4 linked regions of the Lonchura striata genome follow. The protein of the gene in region 2 purifies or fractionates together with the protein of the main gene of each other region. This does not show direct contact. Links are inferred from orthologs where the notes say so. Each region holds a gene or a part of one and is shown on either strand. Other genes may lie near its edges.

What was found.
Region 1: the proteins of KPNB1 (region 2) and NUP50 purify together in Homo sapiens (affinity purification with mass spectrometry; 4 studies listed by BioGRID and IntAct, counting the BioPlex papers as one, with this or other methods). This does not show direct contact. The link is inferred for Lonchura striata from reciprocal best matches to the Homo sapiens genes KPNB1 and NUP50.
Region 3: the proteins of KPNB1 (region 2) and DLGAP5 purify together in Homo sapiens (affinity purification with mass spectrometry; 4 studies listed by BioGRID and IntAct, with this or other methods). This does not show direct contact. The link is inferred for Lonchura striata from reciprocal best matches to the Homo sapiens genes KPNB1 and DLGAP5.
Region 4: the proteins of KPNB1 (region 2) and NUSAP1 purify together in Homo sapiens (affinity purification with mass spectrometry; 3 studies listed by BioGRID and IntAct, counting the BioPlex papers as one, with this or other methods). This does not show direct contact. The link is inferred for Lonchura striata from reciprocal best matches to the Homo sapiens genes KPNB1 and NUSAP1.

The regions. Positions count from the first base shown.
Region 1 is NC_134607.1:5,817,587-5,825,433, forward strand, and holds the start of NUP50 (nuclear pore complex protein Nup50), read right to left. Parts: upstream 3,377-7,847; 5' UTR 3,350-3,376; coding exon 3,281-3,349; exon of another isoform or gene 2,251-3,280; coding exon 2,167-2,250; intron 372-2,166; exon of another isoform or gene 1-371. UniProt on the Homo sapiens protein: Component of the nuclear pore complex that has a direct role in nuclear protein import. Actively displaces NLSs from importin-alpha, and facilitates disassembly of the importin-alpha:beta-cargo complex and importin recycling.
Region 2 is NC_134627.1:8,498,474-8,506,212, forward strand, and holds the start of KPNB1 (importin subunit beta-1), read right to left. Parts: upstream 3,381-7,739; 5' UTR 3,126-3,380; coding exon 3,086-3,125; intron 2,847-3,085; coding exon 2,788-2,846; intron 1-2,787.
Region 3 is NC_134608.1:3,587,418-3,595,661, reverse strand, and holds the start of DLGAP5 (disks large-associated protein 5), read left to right. Parts: upstream 1-4,838; 5' UTR 4,839-4,865; intron 4,866-5,436; 5' UTR 5,437-5,494; intron 5,495-7,583; 5' UTR 7,584-7,592; coding exon 7,593-7,833; intron 7,834-8,244. UniProt on the Homo sapiens protein: Potential cell cycle regulator that may play a role in carcinogenesis of cancer cells. Mitotic phosphoprotein regulated by the ubiquitin-proteasome pathway.
Region 4 is NC_134608.1:37,492,651-37,500,443, reverse strand, and holds the start of NUSAP1 (nucleolar and spindle-associated protein 1), read left to right. Parts: upstream 1-4,499; 5' UTR 4,500-4,515; coding exon 4,516-4,608; intron 4,609-5,723; coding exon 5,724-5,789; intron 5,790-6,838; coding exon 6,839-7,018; intron 7,019-7,793. Other genes in the region: OIP5 (protein Mis18-beta), read right to left, coding at 626-700, 1,963-2,044, 2,543-2,665, 3,640-3,706, 3,830-4,145. UniProt on the Homo sapiens protein: Microtubule-associated protein with the capacity to bundle and stabilize microtubules. May associate with chromosomes and promote the organization of mitotic spindle microtubules around them.

The sequences.
Region 1 (7,847 bases), on a different chromosome or scaffold from region 2:
ACTCCAATGTGACTGATGGAAGATGCAAAGACAAACCGTACTTGACCACAAAATATCTGTATCTGCAAACTTTTCATTACCCAGTTCTAATCACTGTCTTTGCAACCGTATTATTTTATGGTATAGTTTCTTACGTGTTTCTAAAAGACAAAGTACAATTAACATGCAAATAAAGAACTGCAATTTTAAGGCCTTTGGAGGTCATGAACTTTTACCACTCAAAGTGAACTTTCAGTGTCTCTGGAAAACCATCAGATGAGAACTGCTTCTGAGTTTCATCTGCTTTTGAAGAAATGGCAAAGCTTGTCCATTCCAGTATCTGACCTTGTGGTTATGGGTCTCCAGCACAGTCCTCTGCTTCACATTCCTAGGTAAGCATTTTTATTATGTTTCTCTCTGATCAGTCCCACCTTTCTCTCTGAATATTCCAGTTAAACTGCTGTCTTTTTCACTGAAGCATTCTGCTTACTCCATGTAGGAACATCAGCAAGTTTACCTTTCTGTAAATATTTCACAAAGTTTCTTACACAACTTTAGCTGTCCTGTCATCTCTTCTGCATTTTAGATTTTGTCCAGCCTGTTGTCCTGGTTTTGGTTGGGATAGAGTTAATTTTCTCCCTAGTAGCTGGTACAGTGGTGTGGTTTGAATTCAGGGCGAGAAGAATGTTGATAACACAAGGATGTTTTAGTTGGTGCTGAGCAGTGCTCACTGCAATCAAGGGCTTATCAATGTCTCATGCTCTGCCAGCAAGCAGGACAGAAGGGGTTGAGAGGGAGCATGGCCAGGACAGTGACCTGAACACAGAATGTCATGGCCAGCACGGAAACTGGGAGGGGCGGTGGCTGGGAGCAGCTGATTGCTGCTTGGGCATGGGATGAGGTCAGTGGGTAGTGAGCAACTATCCTGAGCATCACTGCTTTTTCTGGGTTTATTTCTTTCCCTTTTTTTGGTTCCCTTATCATCATGATCATTATATTTCAATCACTAAACTGTCCTTATCTCAACCCAGGCTTTCACCCTTTTTTCCATTCTCCTCCTCATCCCACTAGGAGGAAAAGTGAGGGGCTGCATGGTCCTTAGCTAGCTGTCAGCTGGAGCTGAAGTATACCAGCCCTTCTACCAGCTCTAACAGCCTGCTTCCAGTCTCCTGACTACTTCTACAACCCATCTGATCCCCTTTCTCAGCCTGTTCTATTTTTCCTATTCCATTTGCCCCTGAATCTCTCCTGCTCAAGTTGTATTTATGTTTTGTATCACCTCCTTTCAATACAATCCTTTATTTAACTGTATCCTCTACCACATTTGTGGCTAAAACTACTCAAGGCATTAGTGAGCTAAAACAGCTTCCTCATTTACAGTGCTTGGACTGAAGAAGGAAAATCAAAAGCATAGGAGAAGGCTCTCTAGCTCCTAACTGTGCCTAGTCCCACCAAGTCCTAAAGCAATCTGTGTAACACATAAAGCTCCAAGCCTATTTCTAACATGATGCATACCCTGTTCAAAGGATGTCTGGGAAAAAAATATACACAACAAAGCATTTCTCAAGGATTCCTGAAAGGACAACAATTTGGCTGGACTGGGATAAGGCTTTCACAGGGACTAAACCTGTAACAAAGGCCAGCTTCCTTTCAATTTTCAATTCGCTAGTGCAAAGAGTAGATAGCACTAAAGCTCTTGACAGGGAGGGAGAAAAAAAAAGTAGCAGCATTCTTAACAAAATACACGTTTCTCATTCTCAGAGCAGCTTAGTATTTGGGTATTTACTAACATAGCTTCTGAGACATCCCCCAGCCCTCCAGTATGGATAACTAATAACTTTGCATTTCCATACTTCCATCTCTACAAAAAATGCAAGTAAAGCAGTAAAAACGTTGTTTTACCCATTTGCATAAAACACTGTGCCTGAAACACTCTTTATTTTTACTTCACAAATATGCAAGAACACCCTGCTCACCTAGTCAAACTAGTATTACCCTTTTTTTGCCTTAGTCTTATTCTTAGCATGGAACAGTAAAGCCAAAGTTCATGTGCACATATGACCCGGTGAGTCAAAATGATAACTTTACTCAGCATCACTACAAACCCAAGGAAGTAAAACCCTGAGTGTGGTGTTGTGTTTTGTAACTGAGTAAAAGCCCAGCACTCATGCTCAGTGACTACATTACCTCTGACCCAACATTTCGGCGCTTTGCTTTTTTAATAGCTCTGTTCTTCAGGACCTCTTCACTTGCCACAGAGAATGTTCCCACCTTGAAGAGGAAGTTATGGAATCATTAGTGGAATATTCAAAATACACAACATGAAGGGATGGCCAAGATCAGGTTTTGAACACAACTCTAACACTGCTACCAAACAAACAAGGGGAGAAGTTAAAATGCAGCACTGTCATCGGCTTACCAGCTACCTGCAGGTGAGTTGATACTTGGAAAACTCTTTCTGGTTCTGCACTACATTTCTCTTTGTGCTATTTCCATTTTATTAAAACAAATAATGTAAGTTTTGTTTTGCTTTTTTAAAACACAGCTCTAAGATCTCTCTGCTGAAGGGAATCTGTCAGTAATCCACAGTTTGGAACAGTTATATGGAGATGTGGGCTCTAAGGCAACCTCCAGCAGCCTGCTGTAGTTCAAACACTAGCAAAGACAGCTAATGGCTCAGTACCACCCTGCAACAAATGAGGAAATTAAGTTTTCTTATATTCAAATTCCTGGAAGAGTTAGTTTTCTTTTTTACATTTACAGGCCTAAGCGTTTAATACTTTTAGTTGGACAAAAACTAAACCAGTTTGTTTAAATATGAGCCATAAGGGAAGTATGAGACATTAAAGGTGAAAATGTCTTTTTACAATTAGGTGAAACATACCACTCAACTATTTGCCTAATTCCTCCGGCTGTGTGGAGAAATTCAGCTAAAATTAACATAGCTCTAAAATCAGCTATTACTGACCCTCAAAAAATATACTGGAGGCATACAGAGCATTTATCTCCAGAAATCAAATCTGCTTTTAAAGAGTCCAAAAGCATTTTAACAAGCCTGGGGTTCCCTCTAAAAATATTAAGTTCCTTTCTCCAGAACCACTGACGAAATTTTTACTCTTAAAAGCTGTTTTGCTATATGGTCTGCATAACTGGAAGCTTTATAGAAATAATTTTTTAAAAATCCACTTCTATAAAATTATCTTTAATTGCTAAACTTTTAACCAGTTCTACTGTAGGTTTTATGCACAAGATACACAACAAATGTAAACAGCTACTAGCGGGGAACTAATTTGTATTTTACCTCTTCAGCTTCATCCTCTTGGTCCCAGTTTCGGTCAGTCAGTTCCTTTTCAGCAATTCTCTTTGCCATTTTTCCACACTTGTTGGGGAGAAACAAAAAATCCTAGAAAGAATTGCACAGAAATTAAATTCTAAGTGGCAGTGATCTTCAATTTGTATTCTTAGAACAAAAAAACAGGAACTGCAGTTCATATAGAAGCAAGTCAAGATTGGAATGACAACTGAAAACCAAGTGTTGTGGCAAAAACAGCCAACAGCACTTGAGATTCAAGTTGTGGTGATCAGCCATATTCAATCTTAAAGAACAACAGAAATGTACAGTGCAGTTATGGGATAAATATTATTTGGCAGATGGAAAAATTCCTTTCGGAACCATAACTCATATACTCGTATTCTGAAGGGCTACAAAAACCCCAAAGCTGTGGTTAAAACATTCCATATTCCACTCCACATTGCCACCTCAGGATACCTATGTAAGCAGCAAGAAAAAAGGGAGTTGCTTTATAACATCTGAAATAAATACTAATGAGGACCCACTGAATCAGCTGAGCAGAGAGCTTGGTTAAGACCGAAGACAATGCTCTCCTTTAAAAAATTGGACTGGTTGTCCATTACTAATTTGAAAAAAAAATTAAATAAATGAGATTGGCTTTCCTACAAAGGACACATAAGTCATGCCATGGATTTTACAGCAATTACTGTAAGCAAAGAAATCATGATTTTGCTGGTTATCTCTGTGATGTAAAGCAAAATCAGCTTTGCAGAAGGAATGTCTGTAACTGTTCTCAGTCCCATTTTACTAACGTATAACTTATGAGCTGTGTACAAAACCAGAAAAAGAAAACATGGTAGCTGGATTCAGTCTAAAAAACCGGGCAAGCAATCACTGTACAGGAATTTTATGTGAAAAAAGATGTATTTCACTAACTATGGTTATATCTTCTGATACTAAATGTGTGTAAACTTACCAAAGGAAATATGTAGTTTTGTTGCAATTTAAATCTCAAACAAGCACAAAAATTAAAACTCTTCCAAAACCCCCTTGGGTTTGTGATTAAGACCTGCCCAGAAAAAAAAGACAAAAAAAAAAAAAAAAAAAAAAAAAAAAAAACCACAAATAGCTGAATTTCAGAGCCAGAAATTGTAACAATATATTGTTACAAGGCATCTTGTTTATATATTGAAACATTTTAGAGCAGCAAATCCAGAAGGACAGCAGTCTTGGGAGATGATACATCCAAGTCCTAAATTTTGTCTGACATATATCACAAATAAGGTCAAGTTACTAGAGCTTCTGGAAGTAGAGGGACAAAGATTGGCTTGTGTATACATATTTAAATGCCCTGATCCACTCTGTCCTGAAAGTAGACATCCTTGCCTGATAACCCCTGGGAGATCATTTCAATCTAACCCACTGAAAAGCTAAAAACAAGTTATTTTAAAGTCACCTTTATTTAAATTATTGTTTCATTATATAATTTTTATATAGAATGTGTTAAATTATGTAATACATTTTAATTTTTAAGTTATAATAAATAAAGGTATTCTGTATATATATGCTGCGTATATTCATATTATGTATATATACTATATATTATACTATAATATACTATAGTATACTATATTATATTAGTATATAATATACTATAATATAATTCATATTATATATAATATACTATATACTATAATATAATTTAAATATATTAGTTTCATTATTACATTAAATATTTGAATTATTGAAAGAGCACATTAACTACAGAGCCTGTCCCCCGCCAAAAGAGAGAAAACCTTGTCTATGTAAGCTCCAGATTCTCTGCACCCACTGGTGTTTGCACAGTTTCTCTTTAAAAGCATTGTAGAGGATCTAACGTGACTCTAACAGAGAACTTGAAGTGAATTCTATCCCGTGAAACAAGAACCAGCACAAACCTACATCTGGTTGGTGTTCACAAACTTCATGAAGCTTTCGGAGCACGTGTTCTGAACAGGCTGACATAGAAGTATTTTGAGAAACGTATCGAATAATCACGGAATATCCCGAGTTGGGAGGGACCCACAAGGATCACTGAGCCCAGCCCCTGGCCCCGCACAGACACCCCAACAATCCCACCCTGTGCATCCCTGAGTGTTGTCCAAACGCTCCCGGAGCTCTGGCAGCCTTGGGCAGTGCCCATTCCCTGGGGAGCCTGGGCAGTGCCAACACGCTCTGCGGGAACAACCTTTCCCGATATCCACCCTGACTCCTCTTCGATTACCAATCACGCTCAAAAACATTTCTGAACACGTTTAAAAACAACGCAGCGCAGCCGCGCTGCTGACCTGCAGAGATAACAACACCCAGCAGCTTCATAGCCTGTTTACCGCTCTCTAGCCAGGCTCGGCGGTCACCCGGGCAGCGAGGCCCGGAGCCGGCGGGGCCGGTGTCCGTGCGGGTCCCGGGATCCCGGAGCCGGCTGCGGGCCCGGCGGGAGGAAGCGGAAGCCACCGCGGATCCGCCGTTCCGCTGCGGCTCCCGGCGCCGCTCGCCCCGTGCCGGCCGCGCCCCGCCCGCTCGCCGCACCGCGCAGCGCTCCGCGCCTTCCGGACCGCAGCGACCCCCGCGCCACTCACTCGCTCGCTCGGGGCTCTCCCGCGGGAGGCGGGGTGTCCGCAGAGGCTGCACGGCCCGGTGCCGCCGGCCCGGCCGCTCGGTGCCGCCGGCACACGCGGGGCTCGCCGCCGCTGCTGCCGCCGCGGCCCTGAGCGGGAAGGCCGCGCCCGCCGCCGGCCCGCGCACCGCGCGTGCGCCCGCCGCGGCCGGCCGCTGCAGTACCGCCGGCGGCCGCGGGGGGCGCCGCCGAGGCGCGTGTGGCTTCCGCCGCCGGCCGCGCTCTGCGCAGGTCCTGCCGGGGCCGCCGGGAGAAATCGGATGTTAGAAGGAAATCTTCATTCTCTGCTTTTAACTGCGTCTTTGAGTGCCGCCTTTTCGTGCTGGCGAGGTACCGGTGCGTCCTCGGCCAGCAGCCTTTTGTGTAAAATAGTCATACAGTTTGGTGGCTGCCCGCAGACATTTCCGCCCCCACGCACATGCTGATAAAAAAAGTTCCTCGCCTATTTATACATTTTTATCAAATATTCCCTGGTTCTGGATTCTATAATTAATCATTGTGAAAAAATGTTTTATAATTGGATTTTCACAGAAGTTACAATGAATATTATATGTGTAATGTTAGAAAGTTAAGCTGTATTAATTCCCTTACGTAGTGTGTTAAATGTAGTTTTAGGTTCCAACAGAACGTTAAAATAGACACTATGTATGTGGGGGAAGTTGTTTTTTGGTTTTTTTAGGGATGAGATACTCGATTCGAGGAACACCTAAATCGTCCAAGAGAAGATAAATCTATTGTTTTCTCATCAGAAGAAGCGAATTTCTTCAGGCCTTGCTCAGACTCGAAAACACCACGGAGATTAAAGGAAACAACATACAACAGACAGAGTTTCTTGTTTAAAATAGAATGTATGCATAACCATAAAGATGTATGAATATGCAACAAGTGTATTGTTTTGAGGTTATTCCTTTATTCACAAGTCATGCTTTTCATGACTTAGTGTCTGAGAGCATCCAGACATCCATAATTCTTTGCCTTTTATTGTCTTGTAATTGTCCTAACTCTAAACTTTTATTACTTTAATTGTATTACTATATTTATAACCATTTTATTATTATTAAACTTTAAAAATTTTTAAAAACCAAGTGATTGGCGTTTTTCACATACATTTTTATCAAATAGCCTCTGGTTCTGAATTCTGTAATTCATCATTTTTTGTGGAAAAACTCTGATCACTTGTTTTTATAAAATCTTTTATAAAGTCATAAAATAGTTATTGAAAATAGTAATAAAATCAGAATAATAAAAATTTGGACAATGAGGATTAGAACGCTACGAGACAATTAAAAACAAAGCATTAAGGATGTCTGGATGTTTTTGGGCACTGAGCTGCCAAAACCATGCCTTGTGAACAGAGGAATAACCCTTACAAGTAACAGCCTGTTGCATATTCATATATCTCATACATTATGTATAAATTCTTTGCAAATTAAGAATTTTTTCTGCTTTTTGTCAGCTTCTTCCCCTTAATCCTGGTGGTTCCATAAAGAGGGAGAGAAGGTGGAAAAATGTTTTTTCCAGTAAGGAGCCAGTACCTCTTTATGTGCCCTGTCGCTGTTATCTCTGCAAAGAGTTTCTTAATTATCTTCTCCCTTTTCTTGAGCTAGTAAAAAAAAAAAATCTTACATCATAGTTTCTATATTAGCATTATGTTATAACCTAGAGCTATATTTAACACAATACTTAAGAGAATTAATACAGCATAACTAACATTACACATATAATATTCATTTTAATATTTGCAAAGAGTCAAGAACGAGTATCTCATTCTTTTAAAGAAAACTCCACATACATGGTTTCTATTTTAACTACAAAACTACATTTAACATACTATTAAAATGTTAATACAGCACTTCTAATCAATATAGTATAATACGTATAGTATTGAATTTAATATTTGCGAAAAGCCAATCATAAAAA
Region 2 (7,739 bases):
TGGGAAAGCACAGGGGATGGGCCTGAGTGACACATCTTCATCCTCACCCTCATCATCATCACCCTGCTTCATCCTCATCCTCCTGCTTCATCCTCACCATCATCATCATCACCCTGCTTCATCCTCATCCTCCTGCTTCATCCTCATCATCCTCATCCTCCTGCTTCATCCTCATCCTCCTGCTTCATCCTCATCATCATCATCATCATCCTGCTTCATCCTCATCCTCATCCTCCTGCTTCATCCTCATCCTCCTGCTTCATCCCCATCCTCATCCTCCTGCTTCATCCCCATCCTCATCCTCCTGCTTCATCCTCATCCTCATCATCATCCTGCTTCATCCTCATCCTCCTGCTTCATCCTCATCCTCATCCTCCTGCTTCATCCTCATCATCATCATCATCCTGCTTCATCCTCATCCTCCTGCTTCATCCCCATCCTTGTGCTTCATCCTCATGTCTCATCCTTCTTCATCCTCATCCTCGTGCTTCATCCTTATTCCCCTGCTTCATCCCCATCCTTCTGCTTCATCCTCATCCTCGTGCTTCATCCCACATTCTCATCCTCCATCTTCATCCTCCTGCTTCATTTCCATCCTTGTGCTTCATCCTCATCCTCATTCTCATCCTCATCCCCCTGCTTCAGCTCCATTCCCATTCTCCTGCTTCATCCTCATCCTCCTGCTTCATCCCCATCCTCATCCTCCTACTTCAGCCCAATCCTCCTGCTCATCCTCCTGCTTCATCCCCAACCTTGTGCTTCATCCTCATCTGCCTGCTTCAGCTCCATCCTCATCCTCCTGCTTCATCCTCATCTGCCTGCTTCAGCTCCATCCTCATCCTCATGCTTAATTTCCACCTTCATCCTCACCCTTCTTCTTCATCCTCATCCTCGTGCTTCATCCCCACCCTCCCGCTTCATCCTCATCTTCATCTGCCTGCTTCAGCTCCATCCTCATCCTCCTGCTTCATCCCCATCCCCCCGGCCCATTCCACCTCCTCACCCCACACAAATCCCCGGGGCCAGCCCAAGCTCTGCCTCTCACGGAGCAAAGTAAAAATGAAAGCTTGGAGTAATCCCACAAGTCTGAGAGAAATGAAACCTTGGAAAATCCACACTTCCTCTTCCACAGGAGAAATGAAACCCTGCAAAATCCACACTTCCTCTCCCACAGGAGAAATGAAACCCTGCAAAATCCACACTTCCTCTCCCACAGGAGAAATGAAACCCTGGAAAATCCACATTTCCTTTTCCACAGGAGAGGAGAAATGAAACCTTGGAAAATCCACATTTCCTCTTCCACAAGAGAGGAGAAACTTTGGAAAATCCAGGTTTCTTCTCCCACAAGAGAAATGAAACCTTGGAAAATCCACATTTCCTCTTCCACAGGAAAGGAGAAATGAAACCTTGGAAAATCCACATTTCCTCTTCCACAAGAGAGGAGAAACTTTGGAAAATCCAGATTTCTTCTCCCACAAGAGAAATGAAACCTTGGAAAATCCACATTTCCCCAGCTCTTCCCAACACCAGCAGATCAGGACCACGAGCAGCTCCTGCTCATCACCCCAAAATCCCTCAGAGCTCAGCCCTGCAGCTCCAGGCACAGCTTGGGGTGGTACTGAGCCCCCCAAAAACACCAACCCAGAGGATTCTCCCCTCCAAACGGAGAGGTCCAGCATCAACCCCGAGGGATCCTCACCCTCCTTCCACCAGCACCACAAACACAGAACCTCCGTGGCTTCTTCCCCAGCAGGCCCGGGGAGCAGAGGAGGAGCTGGGGGGTGACCGGTGCCGGTTTTTGGGGTGCCAACGGGGCTGTGACAAGGACAGCACCGGGACACCGGGACTCGGCACCCCCCAGTGCTCCCCATCCCTGCGGGGAGCAGCCAGAGCTGCAGCCCCAGAGCTTGACTAAGCAAAATCCCTTCTGAAGCAGCAGCAGCCCCAAGCCCCCGCTCCGGCCCCGCCATCGCACCCGGGGATTTTGGGGCTTTTTGTTCCCCCTTCCGTTGCTTTTTTCTGACTTCTTTTCCTGCTCGGGTTTAAGGTCAGCGCGGGTACAACTCCCCCTGCCCAGCCGAGCCTCCCTCCCCCACCACACATCCCTGAGCCCCTCCCCGGCTCCCGGAGCTGCGATCCCGCCCGGGCCCGGCTCTCCGGGGGATGCGGGGCTCCCGGTGCACCGGGCAGCAGGACCGCACAGGGCTCCCGAGGACACCGAGACTGGGCAGCAGGGCTGGGCGGGGGTCCCACAGGCAGCAGCACCGGCCAGCAGCACCGGCCAGCGGGGCTGGGCAGGGATCCCGCGGACAGCACAGCGGGGAGAGCGCCCCGGAGGAGCGGGCGCTACAACCGGCCGGGCGTCCCGCGGACGCCGGCACCGGGAGGTCGGGCTGGGCGGGGGTGCGGCGGGCACCAGGACGGTCCGGGGGTGCCGCGGGTGCTGGAGGCGGCCGCTGGGGCCGTCCGGGGGTCCCTGCGGGCGGCCGGGCTTTAGGACCGGGCGGCGCCCGGGGCCGCGATGGCCGCGGCGGCCGCACATGGCCCGCGGCCGCTCCCGCACCGGCCCCGCCCCCCGGCCCGGCGCCGCGCGCTGATTGGCCGCCGGGCCCGCAAGCCGCGCCGTGATTGGCCCGCGCGGCCGCCGGGCGCGGGCAGGGGCGGCAGCGGCCATGGCGGCCGGGCCGGGCCGGGCCGAGCCGGGCGGGGCCGCGGAGCGCTCGGGGCAGCGCCGGCCCCGCCGCCGCCGCCGGCTCCGCCGCCGCCGGGACCGCCCCGAGCGCTCACCAGGTTCTCGATGGCCGCCTGCTCCAGGAACTTCTGCGCCGCCTCGAGCTCCGAGCAGTCTGCGGAGGGGGGAAACCGGCGTCACCCGCGGCCCAACCGCCCGCGCCCTCAGGGCTCCCGGCGCGCTCCTCACCGTGCCCGGGAGCCTCCCCGCCGCTCCGGTTCCCGCCCGCCTCACGGCTTCCCCCGCCGCCCACGCCCTCCCCGCGGCTGCGGGCGCCGCCTCGGCCGCCCCGCGGCTTGCGCGGCCCCCGCCCCGCCCGGCCCCGCCGCCCTCAGCGCTCAGCCCGCGCCTCACCCGGCGAGACCGTCTTCTCCAGGATGGTGATGAGCTCCATGGCGGCGGCGTGGCGGCTCCGGCGCCGGCGGGAGGAGGAGGAGGAGGAGGAGGAGGAGGAGGGGAAGGGGGGGGGGGAAGCGGGGCGGGCCGGAGGAGGGGAGGGAGGGAGGGAGGGAGGGGAAGGGCGGAAAGCCGGGGCCTGCCCCGCGGAGGCCGGAGCGGGGCAGCAGCAGCAGCGGTTCCCGGTGCGGCTGCGGGGCGTTTGGACGGGAGAGATTCTTTTCGATTTAAACAAAAAAAAAAAAAAAATTAAAAGAGGGTGGAGAAGAAGGAAGGAAAAAAAAAAAAAGAAAAAAAAGGGAAAAAGAAAAAAAAAAAAAAAAGAAGGGGCCGCGCGCGAGCGGGGAGGCGGCGGCGCGCGCGCGCACCGGGCGGCGGAGGGATACGCCGGGAGGGGCCCCGCGCGCGCGCGCGCCCGCCCCGCGCCCGCCGCGCTGATTGGCCGGCGGGGCCCCCCCGGCCCGGCGCGCGCGCTTTCCTATTGGCCGGGCCGGCGGCGCGAGGCCATTGGAGGGGGGGGGGGGGGTGAGCGGGAGGGGGGGCGGCAAAAGGGAGGGAGCGGGGGAGGAAAGAAGGGGCGGGGCTTCCGGCGGCGCGCGCGGGGATTGGGCGGGGCCCGGACGGGACCATTGCCGCGGGGTGGGGGGGGCGGGGGGGCGCGACCACGTTGGGCCGCGCGTGGGGGGCGGCACCGGGAGCACCGGGAGCACCGGGACGGGGAGCGGGGTCACCGGCACTGCCGCCGGTTCCCGGCAATGCCCGGGGCAGGGCGGCAGCGGCACCGGAACCGGCTGGGGAGGAGCCACGTGCTCGGCGCGCGGCGGGAAGCGGAACCGGCGCCGGTTTCCCGGGACCGGGGGTGTGACCCGGTGTGTCCCGGTGTGTGCAGTCCGGCAGTGCAGAATCGCTGCGTGACGGGCATCCCGCACGAAGCGGGGTGTCCCGTGGTCGGTACCGGTGGCCGGGCGGGGCACCGGGCCGGTCAGCACCGGGGCGGGGATGGGAGCGCTCCCCGGTGCGACGGCCCCGGCAGAACCCGCCCCGCACCGGCTCCGGTGTCCGCCGAGTCCCTCGGTTCGGGCACCGCGCTCCTTGCGCATCGCGGTGTGTCCCCAAAGCGGGGTGACAACCGAGGGATGCGGGAACGGGACGGGCGGAGAGCGGCGGGACAATTAACGGGGCCGGGAGGGCGAGCGGTAATTAGTGACGCTCGCCGGAGGCGCGGGGACAAGCGGCAATTACCGGGACACCGCCCCGGGCTCGGCCCGTTCGGCATCGCCCGCTGCCGAAGGGTTCCGGGATCCCGGCCGAGGGATGCAGCAACGGGAGCCGCGGGAATTGCGGGAGGAGCGCGGCCGGGACCGGGCAGGGCTGGAGAGGGACGGGGAGGAATTCCCGCTGGGAAAGGAGCGGCGGGCACCGGGACAGCTCCGCAGGGAATGGGGGTGATCCCAAAACTGCCGCAGCTCCAGGGGTTTCGGGGTGGATTGGTTGGGGTGGATTTTGGGCGCTGGAACAGCTCCCCTTGGAATTATGGTGATCCCAAAACTCTCAGAGCTCTGGGATTTTTGGGATGGATTCGTTGGGTTGGAATTTGGATGCTGGAACAGCTCCCCATGGAATGGTTGTGATCCCAAAACTCTCAGAGCTCCAGGAGTTTTGGGATGGATTTGTTGGGTTGCATTTTGGGCAAAGATCTTCATCCAAAGGTTGGTTGAGTGCTGGGACAGCTCCCCATGGAATGGTGGTGATCCCAAAACTCTCAGAACTCCGGGAATGTTTGGGTTAGATTTTGGGTTGGATTTTGGGGTTTTTCCCCACTGGATGTTTGAGCACAGGGCCAGCCCCCCATGGAATGATGGTGATCCCAAATCTCTCAGAGCTCCAGGAGTTTTGGGATGGATTTGGGGGTTTTCCCCAGAGGGATTTTGGGGCACTGGAACATTTCCCCATGGAATGTTTGTGCTCCCAAAGCTCTCAGAGCTCTGGGATTTTTGGGATGGATTTTGGGGTTTCCAGCTCAGGGGGATCAGGCACAGGGCCAGCTCCCCATGGAATGATGGTGCTCCCAAATCTCTCAGAGCTCCAGGAGTTTTGGGATGGATTTGGGGGTTTATTCCAGAGGGATTTTGGCACTGGAACATCTCCCCATGGAATGATGGTGATCTCAAATCTCTCAGAGCTCCAGGAGTTTTGGGATGGATTTGGGGGTTTATTCCAGAGGGATTTTGGCACTGGAACATCTCCCCATGGAATGTTCGTGCTCCCAAAGCTCTCGGGGCTCCGGGAACGTTGGCCGGCGCTGCCGGGGCTGCCGAGGGCGGATTTTGGGGTGTCCTGCAGGGGTGGCAGCTGGGCCGGATGATCCCTGGGGGTCCCTTCCAGCTCCGGAGGTTTGGGGTTCCCGGGAGGCGCTTTGGAGGTGGGAGAGGATTGCTCGGGATGGGCTCCGAGGAAGAAGTTTTTGCAGGGAAGCTCCGGAAAGGCGGCGGGGATTTCCCAGAGCAGGAGCCCTGGAAGTGTCCCCGGGTGGGATCTGAGGTCCCTTCCCACCCAAACCTCTCCAGGAAAACCCTGGAGTGAGGAACCCCTGGGAACAGCTGCCTGAAAATTCCCATTCCAGCTGCAAACAGCTGCCTCCATCCCCAAAATCCTGACCTCCAGCTGCTTCCCAAAGCCACAGCAGGCAGAGGAGGAGGAGGAGCAGCTCCCGGAGTTCCGGAATCCAGGAGAATTCCCGGCCCCATCCCGCTGGAAGCTGAGGAGAAGCTGCCCCGACAGGTCCATCCCAAATCCCGGAGCCCTTCCCTGGGGAATTCCCAGGGAATTTTCCCATGGAAAAGTGCTGCCCCGAGGGAGGATTTTATTCATTGCTGGGGAAATGGGTGCGCCCAGGGCTCTGGGAAATATCCAATATCCGGGGAATGTCCATCATTCCTGAAAAAATCGGGGTTACAGGGAATATCTGTCACTCCCTGAAAAATCCGGGATACAGGGAATGCCCATCACTCCCCCCAAAAAAACAGATTATGGGGAAATTCCATCCTTCCCTGAGAAATACAGGTTATAGGGAATATCTGTCATTCCCTGAAAAATCTGTGTTATAGGGAATGCCCATCATTCCCAAAAAAAAACCAGATTATGGGGAATATCTATTATTTCCTGAAAAAATCCGGGTTACAGGGAATATCCATCATTCCCTGAAAAATCCAGGATACAGGGAATGCCCATCACTCCCCCAAAAAAAACAGATTATGGGGAAATTCCATCATTCCCTGAAAAAAATTCGGGTTACAGGGAATATCTGTCCTTGTCCTGCCCCTCTCCCCAGCACCACTTTGCCTCATTTATTAATACGTATTTATTGATACATATTTATTAATACATATTTATTTATACTGCCTGTATTTATTTATACAGATAAAGATTTCTTAGGAAAGGCCAAATCCCAAAATTGATTTATTTGGGAATTTAATTCCTCTCAGGGCCTGCATGAAACTCCTCACCCCAAAATCTCCTCTTTGTCCTGCCCCTCTCCTCAACATCATTTTGTCTCCAGTGATAAAAATAAAAATTTCCTATGGGAAAACCAAATCCCAAAATTCATTTAATTGGGAATTTAATTCCTCTCAGAGCCTGCATGAAACTCCTCACCCCAAAAAATTCCTGTTTTTGTTCTGCCACTATTCCCAACATCGTTCAGTCTCCAGTGATAAAAATAAAGATTTCCAATGGGAAAACCAAATCCCAAAATTCATTTAATTGGGAATTTAATTCCTCTCAGAGCCTGCATGAAACTCCTCACCCCAAAAAAATCCTGTTTTTGTTCTGCCACTATTCCCAACATCGTTCAGTCTCCAGTGATAAAAATAAAGATTTCCAATGGGAAAACCAAATCCCAAAATTCATTTAATTGGGAATTTAATTCCTCCCAGAGTCTGCATGAGTTTCCAGGCTCAGCCTTTTCCCCACCCCAAAAAATTCCTGTTTTTGTCCTGCCCCTCTCGCCAACAGCGATAAAAATCAAGATTTCCATGGAAAAGCCAAATCCCCAAATCCCTTCCACGGGGATTGAGCCTGGCTGTGTTTGCTGCTGTTGTTTTGTGCCTCTCCCAGCCCAATCCCATTTCCATTATTTCCATTATTTCCATTATTTTCATTTTGTCCCTGTGCAGGGAGCAGAAGGAAAAGCAGCTTAGCTGGTGCTGACACAGAAATTCCCAAACCAGCCTCGGGAATGCAACAGCTCACAGCCCCAAAATTCCCATTTTTGGGATGTTTTCCCAGGCCGGGAGTGCCCCCACGATGTTATTCCATCAAGTTTGTGCTGTTTAATGCAAATTGTTTTGATTCATAATTTGGTTTTTTTCTTCCTTTCGCTGCTAAATGCATTTCTGGAGTGCCTGAGGGTGGTTTTTATTCAGATTAAACAAGATCTGGTCTGGGTTTGTCAGCTAAAATTCCAACCCTGGTGGCACAGGAGGGGTCCTGTAAGTGACACTTTAAAACTGAGTTTTGGGTCCTTTCAGGCTAAAAACTAAACCAAATTTTGGGTCCTTTCAGGCTTGAGTTTTATGTTCTTTCAGGCTCTAAATAAACCCAGTTTTGGGTC
Region 3 (8,244 bases), on a different chromosome or scaffold from region 2:
TCCACGGGAAAATTCTGTGTTTTGGTATAGGATCAAATGCACATGGGAATAAAACCTATTTACTAGCATGGCCCCACAGTTTGGTGACATGCAGTGAGATGCAAGATACCCCCAGGTGACTTAAAGGGGAATGAAATATCTGTCCTGTCATATTAGAAAAAGGTCTCACAAAGACATGGCCCCAATCTTTTGTTGTAAATTGATAAAGACAGTGAACTGACATTTGCTGCTAAGTGACTTCTAATGATTAAACAACCTTTCTCCTCTCACCCCCTCGAGGCAGTTAGTGATAATATAAGAAAGATTTTGCACATTGTTTAGCTTAAATGGCCATCTGGCCTTTCTGCATTTCAGTAGCCTTGAACATTAAAATAAAACAATAGATAAAGAAAACCAGTCCTATCTTATCAGAGACCTGGAGAAAGTTTAACTCTGTCAGAGAATTAACCAAGTCCTTACAGCTCTTTTATTGTTTCCATCCTAATTAGCAGTCATATTCCTCAGAGCTTATGTTGTACTCCCTAAATCAAGAGAAGAAACTGTCCCTTACTGGCTGTATTAATTTTAACCATGAAATACAACTCTAGCAGTTCCATCCAGCTTCCACAGGAGGTATTCTGCCCCTGGGCAATGGAGACACAATGGAGGCACACACCAAAAAAAGATACAGGTTTTCTGCCAAAATTAAAAAAAAAAAACCAACCAAACTAAACTCACAAAAAAAAATCACTAAAAAAAAAAAAAACCCTGGAATTATTGTGCAAGAAGGGAAAAGGATGCTCTTTTCAGAGAAAAATGTAATGGTCTTGGCCTAAGTCACAAACCTACTTCCTGATGCTGAGATTTCATCTAATCCCACCCCACTGAGTGGTTTCTTCATCTGCTTTTGCTCAGGGGGATAAAAAAAACAATTTCCCAAAGCAACCCACTCAAAGTCACTGGAAACAAAAAAAAAATTTGGTCTCAGCTTATGGTTGGCTTATGGTTGAATCCAGCATTTCTTCTGGGGTAAATTCCCACTCCCCTCTGCCATGGAAAAAAACTAAGAAGGGTTGAATTTGTTTGGAAAGAAGTGTGATATCCTTAAGAATGTGGCCTTGGGCTTTGAAGAAAGCAGCCAGCTAAGGATGCTTTCACCTGCAGTGCTGGAGCAAATTTGTGAGTGAAATCTCTAGCAGCAGGGAACATTTGGTGTAAACACCCTGTAAATAACAGAGGATGCACAGATATGCTGAGATAAAACCACTCAGGCTGTGTTCCCTGTGCACTTTTCATGCTGACATTGCTAGTTTGCATTTTTGTGAAAGCTGGGAGCTTATAAATGTGCTACAACATCCAGCTTTTGGGTATCAGCTGCCAGAGTGCAATAGAATCTCCAGAGTCAGGTACCTTATCCTATTTATAGCCAGAGACACTTCCCAAGGGCAAGTGGAAACTCCCACCTGGGAGCAGAGACCAGCGAGAAAGAAACATCAAAGGAGGAATGTATTAAAGTCACTTTGCATAGCCAGTGTAGGTGTTTCCATCAGCTCAGGATCCCAGGCCCACACGTTGGGGTTTAGGAGTCTGTCAGTGCTCTTTGAAGGATTGGAGCAATAACAAATTCTGTTTAACACCGTGGGTGTCAAGGTTGCATTTGATGTTATTTGTTGTATGTGCTGATCTGAGGGTGGAGAAATACCCAAGAAAGGGAAGACACTCTCCAGGCTCATCCAGGTGGGAGTCCAAACATCTCTCTCTACCTGCTGGTAGAGACCATGGCATCCTCCCAGGTGACAAGCTGAGGCACTGGGGGGTGGCTTCTTCCCATTCCTGGTAAAAATGGGCTGCAGAGCAAAATAAACCACACAGAACAGAGCAAGAGGCTTAACTGTGTTCCCTAGTTGCTCAAAGACAGGAATTTCACTTCTGTTTTCTGCTCCTAGAATTTGTTCTGGTTTTTCAACTAGCAAACACTTCAGATGAAAAGCCTGAGCACAAGTGGGAACAGCAGCCAATGCATCAAAATGAATTTGCTGTTTAATACTTGATTGAGAGGTTATCAATTGAATTTGGCAACCTGTGCCCTCTGCAGTGTTTTATTTTGCCTACAGAGGATTTTCTTTGACTGCATGCAAGTGGCTGTGGGGTACAGCTTTATAACTCCATTTACCTGTACTTTCACCAAAAACATGATCAGAAAATGTAATTATTTCAGGGCTAAATTTGAGGATAGATTTCCCTACACACTCCATATTGCACTCGATATGTGCAAGGGTGGGGAGAATCACCTTCACAAAGAATAATATTCTGTGTGAAGGAATGAAGAGCAGAAGGAGCAAGTTAGCAGATTGCCACATAATGATCTCCTCAGTACAAAATGTATGGGATAATGATAGTTATATTGCCAAGAAATAAAGGTATTCAAATTGGTTCTCAAACCTCAATGGTTAAAATGGGATATTATCATAAAATCATCAGGTCTGTATGAGAACAAGGAGTTCAACCTTTCAGGCATGGCTAATACATGCACAGGATAATGAGTTTAGAAATTCAGATCGCTTGTTTATTTTTATGAAATGGTAATATGTTTATTTCTCTTAGCACAATAAAATCAGTAGCAATCAGGAATTTGACTGGAAAACACCTGATCTGAGTGTTTTAAATGATATTATTTTAAAATCTTAGCATTATTCAAACACACTGAGGCCCTTGTGGTGACCTAAATATTGTCATTGGAAGGTGTCTCTGCAGCATGTTAAGGAACCCCATTCTGGCTGTAACCTACCTGGCTCAGGTAACACCTGCAGAGGTGCACAGCAAACTCAGGGCAGGTACTCAGGTTCCTCAAGGGCCCACAGCTGTGTTATCACTCCTCCTGTTACTTCAGCTCCTGAGATTAAGCCCAGGCCATAGCAAAGCTTCCCAAATTCTGTATGGACACCCATAAGAGTGGAAATGAGCAAAGGTGCCAATCCACACACTCCGAGAAGCAAACAAGTCTTGTTTCAGCATATTCAAGTATGCAGTAAGAAAAAAAAAACAATTTTTGGTTGAAATGATGACACTCCTAAATTCACTTTCTCCCTAAAACTTGTGTTTCAGTATGACTCACATCATTGGATTATATCCTGATATAAGATAGAATTGCTGATGTCCTCAAATTCCACTGCCATAGAAGAAAAAGAGGAGTAAGAAAATCAGCAAATCCCGAGGATTGCATTGGATTGGACTCTGTACACTCCACAGATCTGAGCTCCCATGGTTCTGTTTAATTGGATCTTTTTCAAACCATCACTTTGGCAGCACTCAGTAACCTCCATGCTGCTGTTTTATTATCTCTAGCAAATAAATGACTGCAGGATTAGGCTGGATGGTCAATATTTGTGACCTTTGCTGTAACCTTTGTCAGTCTGTGCAGAAACGGGGTGACTCTTCCTGGACTGCTCCAGTCTGGGATGCCCAGAGCCACTCACTTTGCTCGCTGCCGTGGGGAACAGCTCTGTTCTCTTACTGTGGTGCTTAATCCATTTATTGCTGTCTTAAAATCGCATTTATATACAAAATTACTGATATATTTGTGTAACGCCGGAGGGGATCCCGCATTTTCAGGCTGCTGGAAGGGCACGGCTGTCTGCCTCTGACCACCGCTCCTGCTACTCAGCAGTTTCCCGTTTCCAAACACTTTTTTTTTTTTTTTTTTTTTCCCCTCAAAGCGTCGTCCCCATTTTTGCAGTGCCACCAAGCGGATGGTTCCCCCGTCAGCATTTGAATTTCCCAGGTTACCACTTCTAAACAAACAGAGAATTCTCCAGTAGCTGAGCATTGTGTTAAACGCAACCCACCCCAGCAAACAGCGGGGTTGGTGCGATGGCAGGAAATGAAGGGTCGTTAATAAAAACCACTTTGATAATGCGTTTGAGGCCCTTTCAGACTTGTGAAGACCAGGCTTCGGCTCCTCAGGAGGTGGCACAACGCGGGTATTAAGGTGTGGATACAGATCTGTGGGCTCCCCGGTTCAGGAGAGACGTGGAGCTCCTGGAGTGGGTGCGGGCAGGGAGGACAGCGGGAATGGAGCATCTCCCTGCCCAGGAAAGGCTGAAGGAGCTGGGGCTGTTCCGTCTCCAGAGGGAACCTGATCTTTGTCTGTCCCTGTCTGCAGGGAGGGCTCAGAGCCAGGCTCTGCTCCAGGGGCCAGCAATGGCACCAGAGGAACGAGCAGGAGCTGATGCCCACAGGTTCCACCTGAACGTGAGGAAGAACTTCCCTGTGCAGTGACTGAGCCATGAAGAGACACCAGAGAGGGTGTGGAGTTTCCCTCACTGCCGATATATAATATGGATATGTAAAAAGATATTCCCGAGCCGTCTGGACACAATCCCGTTCCCTGTGCTCTGGGACGTCCCTGCTGCAGCAGGCAGATGGGGCCAGATGAGCCACTGCCGTCCCTTTCAGCTCTGTCCGCTCTGGGATTCGGTGGGTGGTGGGACGGCTCATCACTATCCCTGAGTCCTGCTGGCACTGAGGGCTTTGGAAGCCCAAACGGGTGCCAGGTGTCCCCGGTCACAGGCGACACTCAGGCACAAGCGACCCCCGCCGCCATCTTAGCACCCCCGCGCCCTCAGCGGCTTCACCTCCCTCACTCCACTATCCAATGAGCTGCAAGTATGGGCGGGACATAACCCCAGACAGCCAATGGAAATTAAGAATTGTCATCGGGCGACCAATAAGCAGCCCGCTGTGGCGTTCCGGCGCTGCCAATCACCGCCCACGGTGAGGCCAAAGGGAGCGGGCGGCCCGCGCTGGCCAATGAGCGTTGGCGGGTGAGATTTGAAAGCGAGGCGGGGCGGTGCGCGCGGGGCCGCGCGGGGCCGGGGCCGGGACGGGTAATGGCGGGCCCGGGGGGCTCGGGGGTCCCGCGGCGGGATTTGGGAGTCCTGGAGGGGCTGTGAGCGCTCGGGGGAACCTTTTTGTGCTCTGTAAGGGGACCCGGCGTGGGGGTCTCGGCTGGCGGTGGGCTGGCAGCGGTGCGTTGTCTCTGAGTTGTGGGAGCACCGGGGTGCTGGCGGGGAAGGGGCTGAGGGGACAATCCTGAGGCGACTCCGCACAGCCGGGCCCGGGTGTGCCCCGCAGGCTGCTCCGACCCCCGCGGCCCGTCTCGAAACCGTCGAGTCCAGGCTTTGCTCAGTCTCTCTTTAAAAGTAGCGATGTTTGCTCTTCCTGCTCTGTTTTCTCACTATTCAACCTAAAATGTTTTCCTGCTCGTTTTACTCTTTGGTTCTTAGGGTGTTGTTGGTCAAAAGTGTCTCTTTTCATTTCCTCTTATTTATTAAAATGATCAGCTTTAATGTTTGGTACTATACGTTAGCCAGTCACAAATCCTTTATGTAAGCCCTCTGTCCCTTTCTTGCTAATAGTCTTTACTTGTCTGTATTTAAATACCAATTAATCTTCTAGGCTCCTGTTTGGGCAAGATACTCCACGGGAACAGTAACCTGGGAAGAAGAGGAGACAGGTATTTTTGTTCTAAACACGTCTTTGGGATATTGGGCATGACATACATTTTTAATGAGCAAGGTAACCTTGCTGTGCTTAAAGAATATGGCTAAAGGTACGTTTAGGAACTTTGTACTGAAAAAGGATGAGTGTGGAGACTAAACTGCTGCTTTGAGCAGTATTTATCATCCACTGGCCCCAAAAGCCTGCTGCTTCTGGGACACAGATAGTGGAGATGTATTCCCACTGTTTTCTTTATGGCTTTCTGTAATGCCATGTAATTGCTAATAATTCTGTAATGACCAATTCTGTAATTCCTAGCAGGATCAGTTCAAATGTGATTATTGGAGACACTCATTAATTAACCTCCCTTAATCACTTAAATGTAAAGTAGGGCAAATATGACCTATGAACTACAGTGGAGTTTTTTTCACTCATCATTAGCTGGCATTTTTAATCAATTTCTGAAAGCTGGAATGCAAGATGAAGGGTGAAGCCCAAGACATTCACAATTCGGGTGGTGCTGGTGTGGACCAGATCTTCCAGAATTGTGTGGAGGAGATCCAGTCCCTGATTTGAGTTTTGATTTTTATTCCCCTTTGCTCTTTAACTTCCACTGACCATTTTTTCTCCCTTGAAAAAAAGGAGCACAATGTAGTGATTTTGGTTTCTGTCCAAGCAATTTTTGGTTTCTGTTCTAAGCAATTCCAGGAGGTTGTGCAGATGCTTTTTGGTGCAAATTTCCCCCTCCATGAACATTTTCATGGAGTGGGGAATAGGGAGCTGCCACTGCCAGCACTGATGGCATCTGGACAGGCTTGGGCTGTATTCTTTCTTCCAACAGCTCAGGTTCTCTCCTTGATTGCTTTTCCTGTAAATATATTCAGTATTTTTCTGCATTATTTATATTTTGCTGCTTTTCTTCCTTCTAAGATTTGGGTTTTCCAGCTAGGCTGCTGGTTGAGTATTTGGCTTTTGTTGGCACATAGATGGGAAGGGGATGGACACCCATTGTCCAAATCCTGCACACCCATTGTCAAGGCTTTTCAGTTCTCTGATGGTTCTTTCAGTTTGATCAGAACATGCTGTCCTGAAATGAAGAGCCTCAGTAAATGATTGATTTACCAATTAATTAATAACTGCTGGGTGTTTAGTTTAGCTCTGTCACCCTGCTTACTGTAAAGCTGTTTTCTGTAAGTGGTGGAAGATGAGATGTGTGAGGTGAAAAACCCTTGACAAGGCAAGTTTTAGTGGGGATGCAGGAGATAACAGAATCCCAGAATGGTTTGGGTAGGAAGGGACCTTAAAGCCCATCTTGTTCCCATCCCCTGCCATGGGCAGGATCACCTTCCACCACCCCAGGGTGCTCCAAACCCCATCCAACCTGGCTTTGAACACTTTCAGGGGTGGGGCAGCTAAAGCAGCATCTCTGGGCACCCTGTGCCAGGGCCTCAAGACCCTCACAGAGAAAAATTTCTTTCCAATATCCCATCTATCCCTGCTCTTTGTCTGTTTACATCCATTTCCCCTTGTCCTGTCATTCCAGGCTCTCTCCACCTCTCCTGGAGCCCCTTTGGGTTCTGTTAGCACAGCAAGTGCAAACCAACTGACAATTGGCTTAAGGCTTCCCCAGGGTAAAAATGATGGGAAAAATTCTGCTTGAAATAACCACTATTGTATTGCAGTTGCATCCTGGAAACATCCTGGTTCTGAATACTCTGCTGCATGGCAAAATTCCTTGCTATCAGATAGGCCTAATCTAAATGGAATGTTGCTTCCAAGTATTGTCCTACAGCCCTGTCATTTACTTGCTCATCTCCTTAATGTGGAAAACAGCTGTGGAGAAAGCAGCCCAGCCAATCCCAGGCATGGGTGCAGTGCCCCCTCCTAATTCTGTGCCAGGCTTGGTGACCACTCAACACCCAAACTGGTCCCTGGAATGGATAAAAATAATGAGAAATTGCTGAAAGAGTTGTTGCTGAAATTGTTATTTGAGTTTTTTCTGGTCACATAGAAAAATTAAGAATTTAGTGCTTTGCTCATAACGTTAACAAATTGGAAAACAAACCATGACAGTGTTTTCCTAATTGCTGTGATTGTTGTCTAAGGTCATCAGGATGGCTGCTACTTCCCAGTTTGCCAATAGATACAAGAAGGATTTGAGTACAGAAGCCCTCAGAACCAGGGTTGCCCGCAGGAAATCCATCCTTCAGAAGGAGAACAGGCACAAGCTCTTCGAAAAGGGCCGGCAGCTGGGGCTGGCAGATGTCAATGCTCAGCCCTCCAAGGAGAGGGGAATTCCTGAGCTCAAGGAACCCAGGGAGTTGTGCTTTCAAGAGAACAGCAGTGTGAAACAGAGTAAGTAAAGAATTGCTCTAGACATTTTTTTTTAAGTGTTAAAAATTATAAGTAGGTTTAGTAGCATTATCACAGAAACCTACTAGTCAACATTTTAATTTGACAAAACGTTCAAGATTTAAAACCCTGTCAGCCTTTCCAGGTGTTAAAATCAAGACAATAAAATCTTAATACCCTCCTCACTGCTCCAGTGGTAAGAATGAAACTTAGCTTTGATTTGTCTGCAGCAGCTGAAGGAAGAATGCATTTTTTTATTAATATTCAATAGAAAGTGTCTAGGATGTGGAAAACTCCAGTCTAAAATACCATCTAGCATGTAACTGATGCCTGTCATGTGCTCAGCGATGGGCAATTTTTATATTATAAATAAAATTATTAATGGGTAAATGCATTGTATGATTTTATTTTGAA
Region 4 (7,793 bases), on a different chromosome or scaffold from region 2:
ATGCTCTAAGAACACTGCAGCATCTGTGATGTGCTCGTCTGCTGCTTTTGCAGGCAACACACACTAGCAAATCTCAAAACTATTCAGGAGTCCATTTAGCAGTGGCTTACATATCAGTTGTAGCTAATGAGCACTTGACCAAAAACTAGCTGCCATTAAAACCAAGACTGCCATTAACAATGTGTCTATTAAATGGTGGGACAAGAGCTCTAGGTCTCTAAGAATGTTCAGTTTGTAATGGTTGCTCTTGAATATCTCCACCTTGCCAAGTATGTTTTGCACAGCTCCAGAAACCTGACTTCAGTATTTCAAAGGCTAGTTTTCACCCTGAAGTCACTACAAAACTAAAGTCACATTTACACAGCTTCAAAGAGTAACATGCTGCATGGGTGAACTATTCAGTCTTCCAAGCATAATTTCAGTATGTCAGATTCTCAGGTGTTCCTGAAGGGATGCACTTCATCATCAGTTTGTTCCACACACAGATAAAGTAACAGATCAATTACTCTGGTGCAATATTTCTTGGTAATGACCAAACACAGCAGAGATGCAGAAACATTTCCAACAGTTCTTGAAAATGTGTATCAGTTGATCTGTTGAAGAGTTCTGCCGTTCTTTTACATAATTATTTTGTTATTTTATCCAGATGTTCTGTTACTAATTCTATGCGAGCACTCAAGTCCACAAGCTTTTCTTTCACCTAGGAAAAAAGAGAAGAGTATTAAAATTAGCAAAAAAAGTCCTAACACTGGACCTTTGAATGACCTGCACCCCACTTTTAAGTGGCTAAAGAGCAGCTCATTTTCAAGATGGGAAAGTATAGAGGGGCTTGATCTCTATATTGCATGTTTAGTACTGACAAAACCAGCACCCAGATCAGAAGGCTACACTACAAACTAGAGATGGATCAATGTGTGCCAGTATCAGTCCTTCCAGGGGCATAATGGAAGATGGAGTTGCTGCAGTTTTACTATGATGAACTGGATCTTTTCTAGTTAACTCAAATTTTCACACAGCCAGAAACCTATGACAATATGTAGACAAACTGTTTTATCATTAGCTTAGGAATGCATGTGGACATTATGTCTCAAAAAGCAAAGGCCAGATGCTTGAGCTTGTTCTAGTCAATAAGCAAAGTCTCTACAGTCACATAATTTGTGTTTGCAATGAAGTGCTGTCATATTTTTACTTCAGCCATTTACTATTACTAAATCATGTGTCAACTTCAGAAGTTTTAGCTGGATAGGATTTTTGTATCTTAGCCTCACTTGACCTGTAAAAACAGTCTGATCTTACAGAAACTGGAAGAGGACAAAATTAAAGAAATGTAAAAGGTCCATTACAAGAGAAACTAAAATCCAAACTGAAACCCAAAAAAAGTAATGAACAAATTATCACATAAATATGATATGCTGGCTGTCTCCTACACACAATAACTTTATTTGAGCTAAGGCACAGGCAATTAACTAACAAACTAGTCAAGTTACAGATAAGAACATCCAATTTGAACACCAAAACAGGAGGGAGGTCCTAGAGTTCTCTCTGAAACAACAAATACTGCCATGCTGTTTTGAGCTTGCACAGACATAAAAATATCTCTTTAAAAAAATCCCTTTCATATTAAAAAAATTCTGATTTTAAATTCTTCAACAATGACAACACAAGTTGTAATGCTTAGGCCAAGTCTGTATAAATTATTTTTGGGTTTTTTTTCTTTGCAAGGTATAAAGATAAAAGGATAACAAACTTTTGCCAAAATTTAACTAGAACTGGGTATGTTATGCAGTTTAGGGGTCTTAGAAAATGTTCATGTCTCATGCATTGAGTCAGTTATTGTCATATAAGGCAGCAGTTTCTCAGTCCTAAGCACTTAAAACCCCCACATTTGTATCAATGTTTTTGAATTAATGTCCAAAATTATCAGTATTTTAAAAGTATTTTCCATTATTGTGGAAATCTTACTTTCTGCATGTTTTCCTTTAAGGTCACAGCTGGAAAATTGACCTTAGAAGCTTCTACAATCATTTGATTTTTTAAGAGATAACTGGAAAACAAAACGGGAAAGGGAAAAAAAACACAGTTACAAAACCTGTAGTTGCACTATTTAGACAGATGATTTAAAATTATTTTAAATCAGATACAAGGTTGTTGCCAAAAGTAATAATTATGAAAATATTCAAAATACAGCAATGGTTTTACTTTGGAATCAAGATCCTCTCAGTAATTTACAGCTTCTGCAGTCAAGTTCTCAACCAATCAAATAATCACTTTGATACCTTACATTAGCTAAATGAATCTGGAACTGAAGAGATTTCAGCATTGCACACAACGAAGTATGAAGTCTTGCATTGCACAAGGACACTCAAGAGGTGCAAGGAAATCAAAGGGATTCACATCAACACAATTTAGTCATCAAGAATATTAATATCCCACACCAATGTGCTCAGACAGAAGTTAAACCACTTTTGTTAGCTGTAGGCTAGTTGTACAGTGACTTGAAACTACCTGTGAAGTCACTGACCATGGAATGCAGTGTACTCACCACATGATGCTGTCCTTGAAGAAACAGAACAAGTCCCGGAGATACACCAGGTCACTGCCAGAAGAGTAAAGAATGAAGCCCACAGCCGAGCCACAAGATCGACAGAATAATAAATAATAAGTACTAAAAGGAGAAAGGGAAGTGTTTTTAAACAGAAGCTTTTGAAACCACAGATATTGCATATTTGTCAGAGAGCATAAAATCTTCAGTTCCATTGGGAAAAAATCCAAGGCATAATAACGCATCCTCTTCAGAAAAGTAATATGTACAAAGTAGTATGACCATAAGAAATTGGGCATGTTGTGAAAGAAGCAATCTCTCAAATAAGTGAAGTTGCTGTTAAGGAAGAAAATGCACATCTTATTATCACAGAATGATTTACATATTCTACTCAAACATAATTTAAATAATAAAATAATGGATGCACCAGTTGAAAATTCTAATAAAATATATCATTACCCCATGCAGAGAGAGGGGCAAGGAAAAAAGTCAAAAAAAGAGCAAGTCTTATATTGAAGCAGTTCCCAGTTCTGACAGTTTATAAAACAGCTTTTAAAAATCATTTAAACAAGCTACTGGTTCTGTAAGCCCCTAGATGACATTTTACATTCTTCCCGTTAGACTGAGTTACCAAACCTTGCAAAAGATAGGTTCCTGAATGGGGCAGCACAAGTTTTTTATTTTCAGTATTAAGAAAAACCGACCAACCAATAGCCACCCCTCCCCGCAAAACCAAACCAAAGCAACCAAAAACCCACCAAACCAAACAAAACCCAGAGATGCTTTAAGCAAGAGACCTTTGAGGGAAGAGAAGAAAGGGACCTACAAGTTAAGCTGTATTCTACTGCATTGCTCGAATGTTTCTCTCCACCTACAGAGGTTATAGCAGCAAAAATCTCGATTTCAAGTGAGAACTACATCCCTACAAAAAGTATCTCCATCCGAGGTGTGAAACAGGCACAGAAGTCACTGGCAGTGACTTGCCAAACTCCTGAGCATCCCCGCGCACAGGCCGGAGAGCTCCCGGCTTCGTGCGCACGATTCACCGCGGCGGCCACTCGGGCAGGTCCGCTGCCGGAACTACGGGAGCTACGCACCATCCCAGGAGGGCTCCCTCGAGGCCGACCAACAGCGACTCTTCCCAGGTCACATCATTGGTGACTCCTGAGGAGAAAGAGAGACGCGCTGCAGCAGAGAGCCCCCGGACCAAGCCCCGCTGCCCGCCCCGAGGTCCGCGCGGGGCAGCGGCGCGTCCTCAGCACCAGCCGGCGCGGAGGAGGCACTGACTGAAGCAGATGAGGACGCTAAGCCCCGGCGGCTCTTGCCCGCACAGCTGCAGCGAGTCTCCCAGCACTGTCCAGCAGCCGCGGCAGTGGAACACGGCGCACTCCTCCGGCAGCGGACCCTGCTGCCGCGGCGGCGACGCCGGCACCTCGGCCGGCGGCACGGAAGACGGCGACAGGGGCGGCGGCCGGGGCGGCGTCCGGGGCGCCGACAGCGAGACGCAGGCGGTAGAGGCAAGGGCGGGCGCCCGCTCCAGCACAATGGCCCCGACGGTCTGCGGGTCCTGGAACAGCTGTCGCAGCCGCTGCCGCACCGCCATCTCCTCCCGCCAAGCGCTCGGGCGCGGGGCCCGCCCCCAAGCATCGTAAGCATCGTGATTGGAGCGTGGTGCGCACCTCTGTATTGCCATTGGACAGAAGGAGCGTCAATCCGCGCCGCCCGCGGCTATTGGGCAGCGGGCTGCACCGCGCGCGACTTTCTTTGCCGGGAACGCCTCATCGCGCTTGAAAATAAGCACGCGCGGCGGGCCGCGCCGCCATTGGCGGCTCCCTCGCTCCGCCCCCTTCGGCCACGCCCCTTCGGCGGCCCAGCCAATGGGCTGGCGCAGCGGGCCAGTTCGAACGGCGGGGGCGGCGCGAGCGGTGTCGGTTGGCGCGCGGCGGGCAGGCGGGTCGGTCGGAGCTGCTGTCATGGCGCTCGCTTCGCTGCAGCCCCTGGAGGCGCTGAAATACGCCGAGCTCCAGCGCATCGCCAAGGCCGCCGGGCTGAGGGCCAACCTGCGGGTGAGGCGGGGGCAGCTGCGAGGCAGCGCTGCCCACGAAGCTCCGGGTTCTGGGGTGCCCCCGTGCCCGGTAGCGTGACGTCCCCAGCCTCGCCGGGCGCACCTCCCGCGTCTGGAGCGGCGCCGGGGCGCCCCGGGGCTGTGCTGCCGTCCGGGAGGCGGGCAAGCACTCAGTGTGGGGAGAGAGCGGGGCTCCGGTGTCCCCCGGGCATCGAGAAGGGGAGGCCGCTCCCTTCTCTGCTGGCCCGGCTGTTCCCCACGCCGGTGACCCCGCGCTGTCCGCCGCCAGTGCGGATAGTTGTGTTTGTTTGGTTGGTTTGGTTTGTTTTTTTCCCTTACGACTCGGAGTGGGAGGAAGAGTGACAAGAGAGTACCTTAAGGGAGGAGATGCGTTTGGCGGGCGCGGTTAAGGGGTGAGAAGTTTAAGGATGCCCCAGGCTCCTGCCAGGAGCTGCAGGTGCTTGTGAGGCACGGCCGGGCTCCTCCTGGCAGCAATGGCACAGCTCGTAAAGCCTTAAAAGAAGGATCCACGGCTTGGGTGGACAAGGCAGCTCCCTGTCCTCACAGACCAAGAGTTTTTCTGGGAATGGTAGTTCTGGGGTACTTTGTTTGTTTTTGTGCTGACCTTTCCACTTAGGTGTTCAAGAGTCTTTCATAGCCTGGCTTATCAGTGGTGTGTTTTCATTGTTGTTTTGTTACTATCACTGTTGAATGCGTGACAGGGATGAAAAGAATGTTTTGCACGTAGCACGGGGCAAGACAGAAGCAATTGCAGAAATTTGACACAATTTTAATTCAAGTTCAGCTGCGCTATGGGGCTTAAAACAGTTTATCTCCTTCCTTGAATATTAACCCCCTGGAAAATAGAGCAGGAGAAACCTAGGCATGGAAAATTGCCTTTGTGCCTCGGTGGAGGATATCTACATGTTTATCTGTGGCCTTAGGCACTTTCTCTAACTGACTGACTTGAACGAGTCCTAGGTAGACCTCATTCTCTTGGATTCAGGAAATGTTCTGCTGGTTTGTTGGATCACTTTATAGGATGCGGGCTGGGCTTATGCAGCTCTTCAGTGACTCAATGGACTGTTTGGTTCATGTGTTTTGATTTCTCTTCAGGCAGACAAATTACTGGAATCATTGAAGCAACACTTTGAAAGGACAAAAGAAGAAAGTGAAAAAATGGTAACATAATAAATCAGCTGTTGCTTTTAAGAAATGTAATCCTTAATATGTAACTCATAGAGCAGAGTATATGCTGAAGGGTGATTTTGACCACAATTGGAACTGTAATAGAAATACCTTTTTCTTCTTAGTGCCCTTAGGTTAAAGTACTTACATACTGATAGAAATTGATATGCTAATGTTAGTTTTGAAGTGGCCTATATGACTTAAATCTTATTTCTTTTCAGCTGCCAAAATTAACAATATTTTTCAGCATCAATACAAGCCTATTCTCTGTGAACAATAACATAATTTCCACTGAACAAACCTTAATTCTTGCTTGTTTGGCTACAGACACTATTCTATACTAAATATAAAAATATTTTATTAATTTTGCATGCCTAAATGAAGGGGACTAGGTACTAATTGGAAAGCATTTTGCATCTACGACAATTTACTTCCATTTATAATTAAAGCAATACAGTTGTGCTACGTCCTTTATTTGTCTCTTAATGTGTTGTTTTCCTAACTTCTTTAACGTTTTCTGTAAGATTAATTATTTTGTTGAGTGTGGCAATATTTTTGATTAAAGTAGTTTGCTATCTGCTTTTTCTAAAATGCATCTGCCTTTAAGTGCATCCCTTAAAAATCTTTAAAGATTTGAGGAACTGGTGTAAACCTTGTCAGCTTTTTAAAAATTTTCACGAGCAGGAAAGGAGCCCTGTTTTTACTGGTGAACAGTATTCCACAAATGTACAAATATGGGAGGGTCATGGCATCATGCAAGTTAGATTTCAAATAAAAAATATTAGGCTTTTATAGTCTTATTAAAATGAAATATGATAAACCAATCATTTCAATTGTATTTAAAGTCTCCAAACAATGAGCTTTAATGCTTAGGGGAATCTGGATAGTGCCAGTTTCTTGATTATTATTCTGCTACATGGCATGCTACTGTTTATCCTCTGTGTAAAATACTTTTTTAAATAATAAAATTGAAACTGTCCCTGGAGTATTTAATTTGTATTTGTGTTGGATATCTTCCAGTTATAGTTTTTTTTCTGCTACAGGGTCCTGTAAAGAGTGCATCTTCTTCCATTAAGTCAGATGAACTAAGCAATCAGGAGGAAATTATGTCTGATTCAGTGTGTTTTATTACAAAAAGACGTGGTAAGGACAAAAAAAAGAGGACCTCTCATGAGGAAACTAATAGCAGTGAAGAAAACCCAGTGCTTTCTGATGAGAAACAGGTGATTTGCTTTGCATGCTTTTGTGTGCTGTCCTCCCTTCCTCTGAGCATAATTTAAGCACACTTGATTTCTTTTCAATCACCATTTATAGATGGTATGTGTTTAGATATGTGTGTTTGTGTGTATATAGATGTGTACAAAAATTGATATGCCAGCATTCTGGTACTTGTATTTTGTATTTTGTAGTACTGACTTTTGTCTATTTATGTGCTATCCCATAATAAACAGACATTACTTGGTAGTCATTGCTTCAAGAAAATAAATTCCCCTAAGAAATATACAATTCCAAACACTTTATCTGAGTGTAAAACTAATTTCACTAGTTAATTGCAATATTCTGAATCTTAGACTAGTTTCAGAATTTATCTAAAATAAGGCTGTTATCTCTTTTTTGATACAGAAAAAAATATCAGAAGTTGCACCATTGTCTAAACCTCGTAACTTTTATTGTGAGGGTTGTGTGACTTAGGGAGAAAGTTACAAGGTATGATAGAGGTTGAATTTTTTTTGAGTTACAAGGAGTAGGTAAATTAAGAACTGTCTGAAAGACTTCAACTGAGGCAGAGGAAGGAAATGAGAAAATGAGGAGTGGTAGTATTTTAGTGTTAGAGAATTGTACAGTATGCAGAAATACAACAGTAAAAAGCAACATCCCCAGTGAATTTAATCTTACTTGCAAATAATTAACTTTAATCCATAAAGGCAATTTTATACTAAAATTTGAGAGCTATGCAGATCAAAGCTTTCTAATGTATCTAAGTTTGTGAAGTAACAG